Linked DNA regions of Tamandua tetradactyla. The protein of the gene in region 1 interacts with the protein of each later gene in a biochemical or structural test. Links are inferred from orthologs where the notes say so. Each region holds a gene or a part of one and is shown on either strand. Other genes may lie near its edges.

Region 1 (8,329 bases):
TACCAAAAATCAATCAAGATGAAGTAGACATATGAATAGCCCTACAAACATTAAAGACAATTGAATGCATACTTTAAAAGCTTCTGTAAAATAAATCTCTAAGCCTTGATGGTTTCACCAGAGATTTATATCAAACACCTAAAGAACACTGTGGGATCTGTCCTGTAACTACTTGTTGAAGAGTGCTTTGAAAACTATTGCTTTTTTATTTCTTTGCTTTGTATATATGTTATACTATACGATTAAAAAAAGTTAAAAAAAATTGAAAAAACAATACAAAACAAAAAAAGCCCTGTGCTGCCCACTGGATGTCCCCCCAACCCTCCCGCCACCCCACGACGATGGCAGGTTCATGCTTGCTGGCCCTAACCCAGATTGGGAGTTGTGGCCTTGGAGAGCTGGGCTGCTGTGCAGGAGAACTTGGGAGGGATCTGTCTCTTTGCTCAAGAGCAGGAGGCCTGAGGGGCTGGAGAGGAGAGGGAGTGGAGAGGGGTTGGGCAGGGTGGGGGCCCAGGAGCTGGACAAGGGGAACTTTTGAGAGAGGTTGTCGGATATTAGATCTTAATGTGTTTGTGGCAGGCACTATGATATAAACCCTTCCATCGCTCCAAACCTCCGGTAAAATCTGTTGAATATGAAGTTCTTCTTTAAATGATTATTGGATAAAATCAAGGAGTAGGGCTGACTTCCACATCTGGATAAGGAACAGAAATCACAGGCCCAGGAATGAAAAATGACACATAGACTGATCCAATTCCTTCAATATACACATCATCGCTGAGCACCTACTGAGCAGTCAAATGTTTGCTACTACTGTTATTATTACTGTGTGGCCAGCACGACGTGATGCTAGAACAGCGGAATTAGAATAGACAGGGGACTGACAGCATTAACTGCTGGGAGGCAGGCAACCGACAGTAAACAAATAACATGCTAAAAGTAGTGACGAGTGCTATGAAGGACTAGATGGGGAGAGTGTGGTGACAAAATAACCGGTCATGTAGGGAGGAGGACCTATTTGGAAAGGGTGTTTGGGAATTTAGTGAAAGTAGGAGTCAGAATTGGCTGAGTAAGAAACATACCACTAGCCTCATGCGCCACCACAGGCCAGCTCCACCACCGCTTACACCAATTCCTGGAGAGATGGGAAAGAGAAAGGGTACAGGGTCTTTTACATCAAGGGGAGGGGAGGGTTTGAAGCGATTTTACTTGAATCATAAGGACAGGAATCTCTGCTGACACCTAGGCTATTGCATCAAAAAAATCATGCAGGCTTAAAAAGTGCCAGGCTCTGTCCTAAACTCTTTACATCTATTATCTCACTTAAATCACATAACCAGGAAGAGTAGATTGTAGATACAGAAACCAGGGCTCAGGGAGGTAAAGTAAATTGTCTGAGTCCATGAAGCCAGAGTCAGCATTAAAACCCAGATCTCTTTCAGACTCCAGGGTCCACGTACATCCAATGCTAAAGAGTGCAGCATTACGGGTCTTTGCACTGGTTGACTGATTATTTAATTCGGTAAATTTTTCTTGAGCATCTATTATGCCTCAGGCACTGGGGATGCAGCAGTGAACAAAATCCCTGAGCCAAAGGAGGAGCTCAGAATTGAGGTGATGAAGGAACACAGCTATCAGCTGATGTGCCCAGTTCATACCCACAGATTCTCCACCACAAAGGATGGGCCCTTTAGTGACTGCTTCCTCTTTAAATGGATTTTATTGGAATAAAAACATGTGTGTGTAAATGTGAAGGGAGCATGCAAAATGATTTCCTCTCCCAAGCCACCCTCCAGGGAGGGTGACCCAGGGCTCTGAGTTTCCAGCCTTCAGTGTTTCACCCAAAATTTGAAGCATGATGACTTGGCTGACTCTGCTTCTCTCCAAGTTTCACCACTGGCTCAGGTCCTGTTCTCAGAGATAGGAGTTGCCTGCAATTTCTTTCCTTCCTCTTCTGCAGCCAGTTCTTATACTGAGCTCTGAAGATCCGAGCTGTGTTGACTCTCCTTTTCAGTCTCTGCCAGTCCACCCCCCATCTCCCACCAACTCTTGCAGAAGAAAGGCAGATTTCTTTATTCCTTTCAACAAAACAAGTTTTTCCAACCTTTCTGGCAGCAGAATTTTTGTTTGTTGAAGGAACAAGCCCTGACTTGCAGAGTCCTCAGCAGGGCTGAGAGAAAACAAACTTGGTACTAGGGTGCCAGGAAAATCCTCCCAAGATGGAGTGCTCTATTTTATTGTCTTGATATCTTCTAAGCTCACTCTTCCTACTCTCCTCTCAGGTGGCTCAGAAAACAATCCTTTCCTCATTCAAAGGAACTCAGGGTTGCTTTGCCCAGCTGCTGTTAAGGTGAGAGGCAGTGTTCCAATAGCAGCAGGGTTTTCGCAAAGGATGCTACAAAAAGATGCTTAAGAAAATCATTGTCTTTGACTTCCTCTGGAATAAGATTTTATTTTAAATGAAACAATATTAAGAAACCTTATCCTCATCACTAACCTACTATACTGCCTCTACAGCAGAACAAATTAGCACCTGAGTTTGTGTTGCCTTGTTCTGATCTCCAGTTACCTGTTGGCTCTCTGTGGGTCTTATGTTCTCAATAAGATTCTAAGTGTCTGTGATGAGACTTGCATTGGTTGAATTCCCTGTGGTCAGCGGTGCCCAGAGCTATGCTATGCCCTCTCCAGTATTTCTTGATTATCCTATAGCTTCTGCTAACTAGGACACTCGGTTTCAAAGCAGGAAGAAGAAGGAACGTTTTTCTGCTGCCATCTGAAAATGTCTTGTTATGAGCAGTCTGCTCACATCCTCCAGAGCAGGAAAGATACCAGACACGGTATTCTGGGCATATCTTATCTGGAAGGAAAAAAGGAGTTTAAGATGATAAATATCTTGGGACATGATAAAATTCACAGGCTCTTTCCTGGCTCATCATGCACTTATTTTTTTAAAAAACTAGCAGTGTATGCGACTTTATCAAAGAGATTTATGTTCAATTGAAGAACAAGCTGTTCTGGACTCAGCAGAATGAGAACTCAAAGGAAAATGGTGCAGAGTCAACCTTGGGCATGTCAGTGGATATCTTGCTAAATTTCTCAGGGACAGTGATTATCAGTGGTGACAGGATTAAAAAGAAGCTTTCATGATGTCATACATATCCTAAGCAGAGCTCAGCACAAGTAGGTGCTAAATAAATATTTGTTTAATTTGATTTAATTATTAAACAAACACGTATATTGCACTTGGAATATGCCAGGCATCATTACTTTGTGCTAATGAGCTGAAATATGTTCCCCAAAGTTAATTGCAACCTTGGACCCTGTTTAGGAAGACAGGAGTGTCCACTGGGTCAGGCACTACCGTTACCATTACCTCACTGGCCCCTCAGGGAAACTGAACTGGCACCTCCTCTGCCACTTGTGTGCCTTCCTGTCCTCTTGCTGCTCTTAGGCTGGACCAAAGAAAATTGCTGAACTTTAATTGATGCTGTTTGATTTATTTAAAAAATGGCAATTTCATGTGACTCACCCTAATATTGCCTACATTTAAAAGAAGAGGAAATGGAGGCTTGGAGTGGTTAAATAATTTCTCCTTAATTCTTCGAGCTAATTGACAGCAGTATCTGAATTCAAAACCCAGTTTGCCTCCTTAGGTTGAACCTCTTAGCCTGTTATTTTTAATCAAATATTAAGAGCATCTGCCTAGGAACCAGCTACTGGGGGTTAAATCTCACATCTTCCATTTACTAGCCCTGTGGCTTTGAGATGAAGAGTTTTCCTCTGTATGCTTTAGTTTCCTCATTTGCAAAGTGAGGGTAATAATAATGCAGTATTATTTAATTTGTAAAGTAACCTTAAATGACCCGAAATCTAAGTACAGAGTTTAGGAAAGCACCTGGCATTTAGCAAGCACTCTATAAATGTGAGCTATTATTACCACCTTCAGGTTTCCTTTAATCCCTTTTTCCTTCTTGATTAAATATACCAACTCACACACACACACACACACACACACACACACACACACACACACACAACTCCATTGTATACCAACAGAATGCCACAAGATCCAGAAACTTAATATTAAAGACCTTATTATAATGCCAAGTGCGGAGGAAATGAACGCTTAACCTCGGGTCGAGAGCCTTACTGGAGCTGAAACTCGAGTTCAGTTTTATACTACTAGGGTTGGTTTTTTTTTTTTCTTTTTCTTCTTTTTTTTTGTGTGTGTGGGGGTGAGGGGGTGGTCGGGGAGGGAGGTGTCACTGCTGAGAAGTACAGCTGGGATTTGTCATTCTTGATACAGAGACAGGAACCTCCAGACACGGGAGGCGCAGCAGGAGCCCAGGAGGGCAACAGCGATTCTGGCTAACAGTCCCTAAATCAATCCTAGCGGGGACGCGGGGGAAATTCCACCTGCTCCACGTCTGGGAAGCGAGGTCAGGTTTACCCTAGCAGGGCTGGGCAGAGGAAATCCCCCATCCCTTCTGCCCTGGACACCGCTGCAGGTTCCCGGCATTTCCCTATAGAGAACACTGGCGTGCTGGGGTTCGTTTGAAGACTCTTTTATCTCGGGGAGCACAGTTCTGTTCAGTTCCGCCCAGTCGTTCAGGAGCCACCCGCATCCCTCCCGGGGGCCACGTGGGGCGGAGAGCCCTGGGGAAAGGCAGGCTTCGGGGGGGGGGGGGGGGAGGGCGGAGCCCACGCGCCGCCGCGGCCCCTTTAAGAGCGGTGCGCCGGCCCACGTGCCCCATGACGTCAGAGCAGGAAGTGTTTCAGGAAGTCGCGCGCTGCTGGTTGGTTTGAGATTCCCGCATTTTAATGTCTTCTGAGTGGTACCAGAGCCCCTGGTCTTGCTGCCCCAGGCCCCGCCTCCCCAGCCCCGGGGAGCCTCTCCCCCGCCCCGCGTCCCTGCCGACAGGTGAGTCCCACGGGCGGGCGCGGGACCGAGAGCGTCGTGTCCACTTGGAGACCCCGCTGGTCCTCTGTCCAAGTCCACTTGTCCGTCTCCATCCTCACTTGAGGCTCTGGAAGAAACTTCTGTCGAGTTTAAAAGTCGGGGGGCCACGGGTTCGAGTTGGGAGGCCCAGGAGAACAGCCCCGGCCTGGGGATTCCAGGTGGCAGCTTAGAGGATGGTGGCATTGGGAGGGAGCCGTGATTCTTGTAAAGAACCTTGCAAAGAAACAGGTGAGCGTGGGGAGCCCAGAAACAAGACTCTCTCGTCCCCTGTGGGAGGATGCGGGCAGGTCAGCCGAGGATCCCCTTTGGAGGTCATGGAGTGTAGGGCATCATCTCCCTTGAGTGACTTTCCTCTTTACTTCCTCCCACGAGAGTGGGAGGATGGAAGGTGATGAGAGAGAAAAAGTTTGCCACCAAAACCAAAACACAAACTAAAAAAACAAAAACAAAAAACCACACCAAAAAAATCCCGGTTTATTCGCTAAGTAAAAAGCAGTTCAGTTTTTTTCTTCTCCCACGCTAAAGGGCAAGTCCATCTCTTACCTTCTCCATCCCCTTGAGCAGGGACCTGCCCCATTTTTTCTTAACCATAATAACCCTTTGCCCCCCATCCCCAATTGCTTACAGAGTTATCAGGACGTCAGTAATGAACTGGTCACCTTCCCTGCCAACCCAGACATGTGGGGCTTGGGAAATGAAAGAACGACTTGGGACAGGGGGATTTGGAAACGTCATCCGATGGCACAATCAGGTAGGGGCTCTGTGCAGCCCGGGAAGGGGTGGGGGTGGGGGGCACGCTTCTCTCACTGCCCCTTGGCACTGCAAATTTCTACCCCACACTGTTCTGGGTAGGTGAATGGTGCTAGCCTTTGGTGGTGGAATTCTTAGCAGTGAATGAGAAGAGGGACTGGGAAGGGGGTTTCTAGGGGCAGCTAAGCTGACTTTTTAGGTTAGTCTCCAATTTTAATGGACCGCACCACCATAATAGATAGTGAAATAATAATAACAATAAAGTGAAGCTCTTGGCTCCAATTATGTATATTTTAAACTTATGCAAGTATTAGAATGTCATATACTGTTACATGCTAATATATAACTATTATAAAGCACCCAAAAATAGGAAAATTTTAAGGATGACGGTAATGAAATAATATTTTAAAATATTTTGCTATTTGTGATGTCTTCTCAGTATCATTTACAGTATCTTACAACGTGAAATACCTGGATCTGCACAGAAGTTAAGAATGTCATTAAGGATAGTGGATGAAAATCTACACTTCAGATTTAGAATTTTGAATTATTTAGACTGATTTCTTTTTGGATTTCATCAGATCCTCATTTTTTTTATTCCTGCTCTTTATAATGAGCTACTTGTGCTAGAAGTGCCGGTTCTACCATGTCCCTCCTTGCTTGTGTAGGTATGATATGTCCTGAAGTTCTCTGCAGGAATCTCTTTATGCTATTTGTTCATTTTGAGAGTTATTGTCTTAGTTTGCCAGGGCTGCAGTAAGAGCTATCCCAGGCTGGTTGACTTACACAACAGAAATTTATTATCTCACAGTTTTGGAGGGAAGAAGTCCAGAGTCAAGATCTCTTGCAGGCGGTGCTTCCTCCAGTACTTGAGCCTAGTGATTTGCTGGTAATCCAGAACTCAGTCTCCGCCTGCCACCTGGTAGTCTGTCTCCTCATCCACCTGATACCATCTGCAGATTTCCTTTGCATATAAGGACTCCAGTCATATCGGATTAAGGCCCACCCTGTTTCAGTTTGGCTTTGTCTCAATAGGATCTTCAAAAATCCTGATTACAAGTGGTTCACATCCACAGGACCAGGGCTTAGGACTTGAACATGTCTTTGAGGGAGGGTGGGGGCCTGAATCAATCTGTAACTGTCAGTTTTACTTAGACTGGATAATGCATCCATAATGCTACTTCACCAGGGCGCACATGACCTGCAGCGTGTCTCCATAGGCCCCTGGCACCCCTCTGCCTGTGGAATGCCTCCTTCCTCAGGATATATCAAACATGGCATGTTACCTTCTGACAAATGACCTAAAGAATGTGCCAACATCAGTTAATATTAGAAGAGCTTAATTTATTTTTTATTTTTTTATTTTTCGATTCCATTAGATTATCTTGGGCAACCCCTGGGGTGCATAAACCTAGTTTGGAGACGATTGTCCTAGAGGAACCCTGACTTAAGTCACTCACCAAATAGCTGAAATTAACTTCCTGCTCCAAAATTCAGAGCCATTGTATTCCTTGAAGAAAGGCAGCTATCCTTTTAATCAAGGGGGCTGTTGAGCACCTTTTCTGACTAAAGGGATGACAAATTGTACTCTACTCCCCAAGAGCCTGGCTGCAGCCAGCACTGCAAGACGTTGAGGTAGCTGGCCAGCCATGGCAGAGGGTCACTCCAGAGAGCCACTCTCCTTGGCCATTGACTTGGGAGACATTCTAGGCCCTGCCCTGAATCCTGCCAGCTCTTGACTGCATGGAAGAATACGGGATCCAGAGCTGGAAGGCAGAGGTGGTAACATTTTCACCCCCCTTGTGGAAACTAGTACTTCAGCAAATCCTTGGCTGAGGAGGCCTTAGAAATACCACCTGCTTAAGTTTGTCCAGATTATAGTCTAGCCAAGGGCTTCATTTTAAACCCAGAGAGCCAGATTATGCTCCAGCACCACGTATAACTGGGCTGGGTGCCTCTGGACAGGCCAGTGCTTTTAAAAGTCTTTTGACTACAGCAAATATCTCACTGCAGCTTAACTAGAGACATCTTGGTTTCCTTTGAAAAAGAGTTCTGTCCAAATGTGCCATATGTCTGTCACCTCTGGCTTGAAATGACTTCCGTCTGCTCTCTGGGCATGGAGAGCTCAGATGTTGCCAAGTGGAATTTGTTTCTGGCTTGATAGATGTGGGCTTGGAGTGTGTGTTTGTGTATGTCTCTGTATTAGTCTTCTAGGATTACTGCCTTCCCCTGTTCAAAATGCTTAATGTTCTCTTTATTTTTTAAAAGCCGATAGCTGGGTTTCTCAGTCTGTTGCTTGAGATTCCCCACCCCCACCCCCGTGGTCTGACCCCTTCCTTTCTAACCTTACCTCCCTTTATTGACTCCTGACAGGTGGATTTGCTGAGCCCTTTCTGGGTCAAGCCTCCCACTCCCTGCCTCCTTTACAAAAATTCTTCCCGTCCCTCCAGGACTAGCTCCAGGCCACCTCCCCCATAAACCCTCATCCGTGGATGTGGATCACTGACTGCCTCATTCCGTGGGAGTTAGTCCTTCCATTGAATTCCTCCAGCTCCACTCATTTGCAAATCCTCACTGTGTGTAGGAGTGTGTCTTGTCAAGGCTGTTTAAATTCCTGGT
Region 2 (8,641 bases), on another chromosome or scaffold:
GCCCAGCAATGCCCTGATCTTGGGGTGCACTATGAATGTCCTCAGAGCATTCTCATGCTGGGTCCTTCCTTCCTAAACTGGAAGCCCTTCCTGGGGGCAGGATCATCTGGAGCGTTCACCAAGTCCGTGAGCTTCTATCTCGGAATTTCACCAATATTGTCTGCAAATAAAACACAGGGATGCCTCAGAACTGGCTACTTTTTCTTCCAGCTGGTTATAGGAAAGTTATAGCTCACAATCATCTGGAATAAAATTTGTTGTTCAACATAGTATTTTGTACCTGGCAGATATTTAATAAAACTTTTGAAATAAATCATTAAGCAACAAAAGTTCCGCCTATTGAAATCTACTTGGCCAACCAAAATACACCTCTTTCCTGTCACCTTATCAGTCAAAAGTGACTGATTACATTCATCTCTTCCTTTACACTCTTATAAAAGCTATTTTTTTCATTAAGTGTTTATTATTTATTCAAGGTCATACAGCTATTAAGTGGCAAAGCCAGAATCCAACCTAGGTCTGTCAGATGCCAAACGTCCTCATTCTTAACCACAATGATATGCCACCTTATTTTCTTAGCACATAAACTGTATTATTCACACTACATTTATCAGATGCCTTGTATTTCACAGCACAAGGCAGGATGGTGTACCTAGAAACCTAGACACAGAGGTAGGGATGAAGGGCATACTAGGGGATGGGGAGGTGAAAATATTGCAAATAGGGAATAAGCGGGGCTATTTTCTTGGAAATATGCCCAACCTTCACTACAGTCTGACCCTGAGATTTAACAGAGAAGAGGAAATGAGTTTGCATATTATGAAATGTGATACATTAGAAAGAAAGCAGAATTGAGAACTGTAATGCCTGCCACAAACCAGCTCTTTGATTAGGTACTTGACATTAGGATGCGGCCCCTTTGACACATGATTTGACCCAGGAACCTTAAAACATGGCCTGGTGTGGTGGCCCAGGGTCAGGACCCCCTCCCTTGGGAGATGAAGGCTTAAGTATGCAGCAGCCGGTGTGATCAGAGCCCAGACATTATTGTTAAAGCAATTAAAACTCCCCTCCCCTAATCACTGTTGGTAATTAACTGGCTGAGACTCTGCTGAAGCTTCTTTGTAACAGATATTGCCAGGCTTTGCTGAATCATATAAGGTACTCTTCCTCTTGTTTTGGGGATCACTGATTTCCATTTCCTGACCAGTCACCATCAGAAAGAATCGTTTCCTGTTAGTAAGTCCCAAATGAAACCCATATCTAACTCTCTGCTGTGTTCTTTGGTCTTTGGGCTGGGCTGGGCTGGGCTGGAACACCTGGAAAGCAAAATATTAAACTTTCAGCTTTCAAAAATTCCTAAGATTCTCACTCCACACCTGAGTGTCATCCAACGTCGGCTCTTCAGTCCATCACCAACCCTATTACTGGCACCTAATAGGCACAACTTTTTGTTGAATAAATGAATAAGTGAATGAACATCAAGGATGGAAGAAGGGCATGGCTGCACGTGTCAGAAAAGAGATGATGGACCCAGAGGGGCCAGCCTCTCCAAAACATCAACTAGTGCCATTCCCCTATCTCATATTATTGACAGCTCTTTCCAACATGAAAAAGTTGGAATGGACATAGCCTAAATACCCCTAAAGATTGGGAGAAGGCTCAAAGGAGAAAGTGGAGTTATAACAGAGAAGATAGGATTTAACAAATGAATATGACTGCTGAATTATTGTATTGAATAATACAAATCCTATTTCTTTTAGTCTCCAGTGTCTTGGAGCAGCTAAATGGGAAAACCTAAAATTGTGGAACTGTCAAACTCTGAAATCTGTTCTATAACTAATTGTTGCAGTGTGCTTTGAAATGTATTACTTTTTTGTATATACGTTATTTTTCACAATAAAAAAAGAGAAATATAACATAAAAAAAAGAGAGAGAGATGATGGTCAAGGACAAGGAAAGGGTCAGAATCAGAGTTGTCTACCATTAACATTTGATAGTCAAAACCCATAACAGAAATAAAGGTGTCAAAATATCAATTATTTGTTAATTCATGGTAATGAGTGTGGGGTGTTTGTAATATAACTCTTTTTACTGTTTGGTGTGTTTAAAATATTTCATTTTAAAAAGAACAGTATAACAGCAACTTCAAAATGACTGGACCAAATGGGATTCACCAAACTGGCAAATCATTTGCTTTAATTGGGGGGAAATCACCTCTTTCACGAGCAAAGCCGGTGCGGTTCATTCCCACACAACCCTTTAGGAGAGAACCTGTGGAAATACATCTGAAAAGCCATAAAATATTCATTTCCTTGGTTGGGAGCATACTCCTGCCTCCTGATAATTTAGGCAAAGAAAATAATAATTCAAAAGAGAATAGCATAGGAAATATGTAGGCAAAAAATTTTATAATTTTTTTATAACCATGGAAGATTGGGAATAATGCCAAGGGAACAACGGGGCAGCACTCACCACTGCTCCCACCTGGTAGAGCCACTCTCCTGTCTGTCTAAATCCCTACAGTGGCCTCCAGCTGGTCTCCATTTTTGCTCTTGCTTCTACAGTCAGAGTGATCCTAAAGGAAATCAAAGTGCTTCCTCATTTCTCTTCAAATTGTGTTTTTACAAGCATCACAGCTAGCTCTCCTGTCTGAGCCACCACCTCTAGGGCCTGGATTAAAGAAGAGACCCCCTAACTGGTCTCCTCCTTTCACCCTCCTCCTCAACAAAAATCATAAATCAGATCACACCACTCTTCTCCAGCAGCTTCCTGTCTGACTCAGAGTAAGCCCGTATGATTCAGCAAAGTGGGAGAAAACTCTTACAAAGGAACACAAGAATCTCATCTTCTGCTCACCCCTGACTCCATCCCAGCCACCCCCGGAGCCTTTCATTGGCTGTTCCTTCTATTCACAAGGCTCTTTCTCCAAATATGCACTCCCTCACCTCCTTCAAATCCTAACCAAAATCCCACCTTTTCAGGCAGGTCTTCATTGGCTGCTGTGATGGTCCGGAGCTATGTACCCCAGTAGCAAATAGTTCTTAAACTTAATCCATTCCTGTGGGTGTGAACCCATTAGAAGCAGGACATTTGATGAGGTTACAAAAGTTACGATGCGGTCCAACTCAATCAAGATGGGTCTTAATCCGATTACTGGACTCCTTCAAAAGCTGAATGTAATGCAGACACACAGAGAGAAGGCCATGGGAAGCAAAACACTGAAAGTCAAAAGAACAGGAGATAAGGAACAGGGACCCCAGACCTGGGATCACTGGCAGTCAACCCCAGAGTCTTCAAGACGAAGCATTGCCTTGAGTTGGACTTTTCCTAGCCTCAAACAGTAAATTATTAAATTTCCATTGTTGAAGCCAATCCACTGCATGGTATTTGCTTGAGGAGCCAAGGGAAACTAAAGCAGACACACTATTGTAAATTATTGTAAATGAGAAGCCTCATCCTGCTTCTCCATTTTATTTTCTGTTTATCATCTTCTAATATACTAAATAATTTACATAAATTTTTTCAAATATGTATCTTCCGTTAGGCCTAGACAACAGAAGATTTAGCAAGCAGAAAAAAACTGTACTTGTATTTTGTATCAATGTGGAAAAAGACATGACATAATGTTAATGCAAAAAAGCAGAATCCTTGGGTTGTGATTAAAAATGTTTTGGTGCATTTTGGGGAACACCTCTTTTCTGGTTTTTTGCTTCCCCTGACCTTAAACATTGGCTTTCCAAGTTTGTCCTTGGTCTCCTCATTTTGACCTACCCTTGTGGCTTCAAAAACTATCCAGTTTATTTAGTATGTCATCCAACTTTCCTCCTTGGGCGTAGACCTCTATTCTCAGCTCCTCACCCACATTTCTCAGGTTGCTTTGCATACTCCTCTATTCCTGAGTGGAATACCATTCTGGGAATAACTACTGTTCATCAATCTCCCCCACCCCCAAATGTGGAAGAACCCTTACAGGAGAAGCTGCCAGGAACATATTAGTAAGTACCAACTAAATGCTTGAGTAATACAAAATAATACTAATAAGTGCTTATCCCGTGCCAGGTACCTACAGCTTTCCATGTATAATTTAATTCTCACAGCAGTCCCATGAAGTAGATCTAACTCCACTCCACAGATTTATGAATGAAGAAAAACATGTTTATAAACGAACAGCCACCGAGAAGGATGCAAACGTTTAATTAGATGTTAAAGTGGTGGGAATGAGGTGGTTCTTTTTCTTATTTCCCCAAATTTCTTTAATACTGCAGTTCTGTTCCGTGTGTGCGCGTGTGTTTGTGTGTAATAACAACTTAAACATTTGAATGGGCAAACACAGCAACAGGAAATTATAGAACCCGGTCAGGAAAAAAGGGAGGAACCCGAAGGTACTAACAAACCTACACCCAGCGTGAAACGCCTGCCGCCGTGGGCGGTGCCAGCCAGCTGAGCAGCAACGGATCCCACCCACGGAAACGATTCCTTATTGGGAGGCCAGCCTCCGGCCACATGCAAATGACCTGCGGAGGTGTAGCTTGAGGTGACGTCAGCTGCGGGTAGAGCCACTCCTGAAAGGCTCCGGTGGGAGGCTTGGGCTGATTGGCTGTCGTAGTGACGGGGCGGGTCCTGCCGAAGGCCCAGCCTCCCGAACGGGCGGCGCCTGCGCCTGAGCCTCCCTGGACAGGGAAGGAGCCTGGCTTGGATCTCCGCGTCGCGGCGCGTACGGTCTGAGGCGCCGTCGCCCCCAGAGGGCGACCCCCGAGCCACTGTTTTCCTAGGGGCGGTTTTCTTCTTCGAGACCCGCTCCGCCTCTCCTTTCCCCCTCTTCTCGAGGTTATCGAAGCCCCCAGGTCTGGGAGGGGCGGCGAGGCCAAGCTCCCGGACCCGGAAGAAGAGCCGTCTCCTGCCTCTGCCATGGAGCCCACCGTGCTGTCCCTCACCGAGGAGGACCTGACTGAAGTGAAGAAGGACGTGAGTAGCGCAACCTTGCCCAGGCGCCGCTGGTATCCGGGGGTGGGCGGGGGCGGGCTGCAGTCCCACGGGAGAGGGAAGCAGAAACCGGATCCCGGAGAAGAGCCTCTGGGTGGGAGGAGCGAAAGGTCTGGGCTCTGGAGGATCGCGACGAGCCCTGCGACCAAAGGACCTTGCTGGAAGTGATCCCTCGGTGATTTGTTGATCCACATTTTCGAATCGCTGAACACAGGATTAAGGTTTCTGAAACTTTGTCCAGTAGACCTTTTCTTCGTAGTCAGCGTCTTACCCGCTCATGATTTTACCTCCCGGCTGTGCTTACGAAGCTCCGTTGTTGGGGATCCTCATCCTTTTTTAAAAAGTCATACTTCCTAGGCTGTGAACCCAACGTAGAGCAAAAGCTGGACCAGAAAAAGAATCCGAAGCAATGGAGCAAATATGTGAAACTGTTTTGCAAAGGGGATTGAGGGAAGCTCAACAGCTGAAAGCGCAACCTGGAATTCCCCTAGTAAGCAAACGCCCACGTATTTAAATTGAGGGGGGTATGAATACATGTAGCAGAGAATTAATTTACAGGTAAACGTTGGAAATATTCTGTAGCTAAATTAATTTCTTCTGCCTGGATGTTGCAGAACTGCACAAACCTTAATACCTATTTGTACGAATGGCTTTGTTGAGGTATGATTTGCTTCTTTCTTCTTTGTTTTTAGTTACTTGGTTTTTCATTTGAGACCTGTAGGAATACTACTAAAATGTTTTATACTAATTCAAATTAAAAACGGAAACAACATAATGTATGCTCTGATTTGACATTGCAGTACCTTAAGAATACAATCTTTGTGAATTGTGAGGGAGAGGAACTTTTTTAATGTTCATCTTTTTCAACTCCCTTCCTCTTCCCTCCCCAGTATTGTTTATTACACTGTGCTCATATAGCATGACTCATTAGCAAAAGGAAGCTGGAAATTAAACTGTATGACTAGAACTTGTGCCTTAATTTCCTTATCAGGTATTTATGGGACACTTACTATCTGCAAAGTACCATTCTTCTGCCTAGGATATAAAAATGAAGATAATACCCCTGCTTTATAATCTAGTTGAGATGAGACTGGGACATTGATGACTACAGTGGATTTTCATTATTTGTGGTAATTATGTTCTATAAAGTCCTTGAGAACTCCTAATTATTGAATACTGAATCTTTATTCCTAGGGGAAATACAGGGTTAGGTTCAAGCCAGCCTTTGGTTGCAACGTTTTCTTCAACCGATCAATATATTACTTTGATTTATATGTATGTCTCTTTAAAGACACATTACTTCATTTATATTGTTGATTCATTAGCAATGAATTCATGGCCAACAGCACTGTAATTCATGCTTGAGCAAAGCTTATCTAACAAATATATTTTCTCTGTGAGTTACATCACAGTGCTAGGCAGCACTGTAGCACTACACATGGAGTTCATTTTAAACAGCGAAATCACCAACAAAAAGCACAGAAATGTGACAAACATGGCACTTAATAAACCATGAAAAAGACGTTGTTAACAATATGAGCTGAAACAGGAAGGTAGAGCATTGCCTTGTTTGACCTCTGCTGGAAATGTGCGCATCAAGAACTCAATTTTTTTTACTATTCTGCACATCTATGAAAGAATGGGAAAACTCCATGAATATTGATTTGGGGGTTATAAATAAATTTTTCTGGGTAGGCAAATTCACAAATGTAATCAGCAAATAATGAGGACAATCTGTACTACAGAATGAGTTTTGTCTTGTTCAACATGGATGCCAGTAAAACCAAGAACTTCAAGAACTAAGCTTACAGAGTTCCATAAATGCTCCCATTTAAAATCTTTACAAGAACCTGTAAGGGAGATATTGTTATTCCCATTTTATAGTTGATGACTGGGCAATTACAAGTGAGAGGAGATAAAACTATACAAATGCAGATGTGAAGAGTGGGTTCTTTGCCTTTATTTTTATGACTGTTCATTGATGTTCTCCATCTCCATATTTTCAGTTTGCATTTTTATCAGAAATTCATAACCTTGGGGAGACCGTGGATGGATTTCAGGAGGTCTATGAAAAAAAATCTTGAAGATTTTCAAAATGGTTTTTGACCTTAAGTTTTAAAATTACCATCCACTGGGTGGCAGATGATGGCGCAGTGGCAGAGTTCTTTCCTGCCATGCTGAAGACCCAGGTTCGATTCACAGTGCCTGCCATGCCAAAGAAAAAAAAATTACCTTCCACATATTCAGACTTCTCTCAACTTTAGCCCTGTATTTCTAATTATCTATTGGAAATCTTTCACATTCTGCAAATTCCTCACTTGTCTAAAATTGATCCCTCCCCCAAAGCAGCTTGCCTTTACTGCTGTATTTTATATGGTGATGAATGGTATACCACCATCCATCTTCCTAGAAATTCCAACTTCTTCCCATCTAGTTATTTAGCTTATCTTTTAGGGGTTGGATTTAGTTCAGTTTAATAAATATGAATTACATGCTACTGGGAGGGCTGATGCTGTAGTTGTTTCTAACAGTTCCGAAATTAAAAACTAAAACAGTCATTTGAAAATATCTTGATTTCTTGGGAGAGGGAGACAGGTAAAAAGTAATAATTAGAAATTACAAAATAAGTGTAATGAATTATGTATTCATCCAAAACATATTTACTTGGTACTCTGTTAAAGTGTAGTGTTGAACAAAACATTCCTGGTTCTTGCCTGCTTCATGCGTATAGGTAATTAGGGTTGAAAACAAATGAATGTATAATTACAAATTATGGCAAATGCTGTGAAGTTGACAAACAGGTGCTGAGACATTAATAGGGGAAATCTACTTGAGGTAGGATGGTCTGGAAAGTGTACATTTAAATGGATTCCTAAAGGATGTGACAGAACTGGGGAAAGAACATTCTAAGGAGAATAGAATTTACAAAGGACCTAAAAATAAAACAGCCAAGAAGAACTTGGTGACTTGGGGAAATTGGAAGAAGGCAGAGAGTAGCCTGAGGTGAAGTTAGGAAGATAGGCTAGGGTCAGATCATGAAGATGGTAATAAAGACTTTGTGTTTTTTCCCAAGTGTACTGGGAACCTAATGAATTATATTTTATTTTTAAAGATATCTCTTCTGTTGGGTTGGACAGGGGGGAAGCAAGAGTGAGAAGAGTGAGAGCAGGAAAATCAAGAAAGAGACTCTTGGAATTTATATAGATGAGAGATGATGGTGATCTGAATCTGGGTGAAGGCAGTGAAGATGAATCAAGTAGAACTCTAGATACATTTCTGAAACAAATTGGTAAGACTTGATGATGGGTTGAATGTGGGAGTTGAGAAAGAGAATGGAATTAGATGAGTAAGTAGGAATATTAAATCAGCAATTAGATTTACAAGTCTGGAGGTCAGAGGAGAGAACTAAGTTAAAAATACAAGTGATGGGTGCATGGGTAGTTCAGTGGTAGAATGCTCATGTTTCATCGAGGAGACCCGGGTTCGATTCCCGACCATGCAACCCCCCCCCAAAAAAACACGAGTGTTTACAGCATGTGAGTGTGGGATTGAATGTCTTCAGGAAGTTGAGAGCTGGAAGGAAAAAGATTATAGAAGAATTGAAAAATGAGAAGTAGTAGCCACAGAGATGGGAAGAAAGCCAGGAAATGACGAT

What was found.
Region 2: the proteins of IKBKB (region 1) and BCL10 form a complex in vitro, tested with the Homo sapiens proteins (2 studies listed by BioGRID, with this or other methods). The link is inferred for Tamandua tetradactyla from reciprocal best matches to the Homo sapiens genes IKBKB and BCL10.

The regions. Positions count from the first base shown.
Region 1 is NC_135329.1:17,816,533-17,824,861, forward strand, and holds the start of IKBKB (inhibitor of nuclear factor kappa-B kinase subunit beta), read left to right. Parts: upstream 1-4,768; 5' UTR 4,769-4,921; intron 4,922-5,098; exon of another isoform or gene 5,099-5,188; intron 5,189-5,587; 5' UTR 5,588-5,606; coding exon 5,607-5,711; intron 5,712-8,329.
Region 2 is NC_135337.1:39,769,296-39,777,936, forward strand, and holds the start of BCL10 (B-cell lymphoma/leukemia 10), read left to right. Parts: upstream 1-4,643; 5' UTR 4,644-4,911; coding exon 4,912-4,968; intron 4,969-8,641. UniProt on the Homo sapiens protein: Plays a key role in both adaptive and innate immune signaling by bridging CARD domain-containing proteins to immune activation.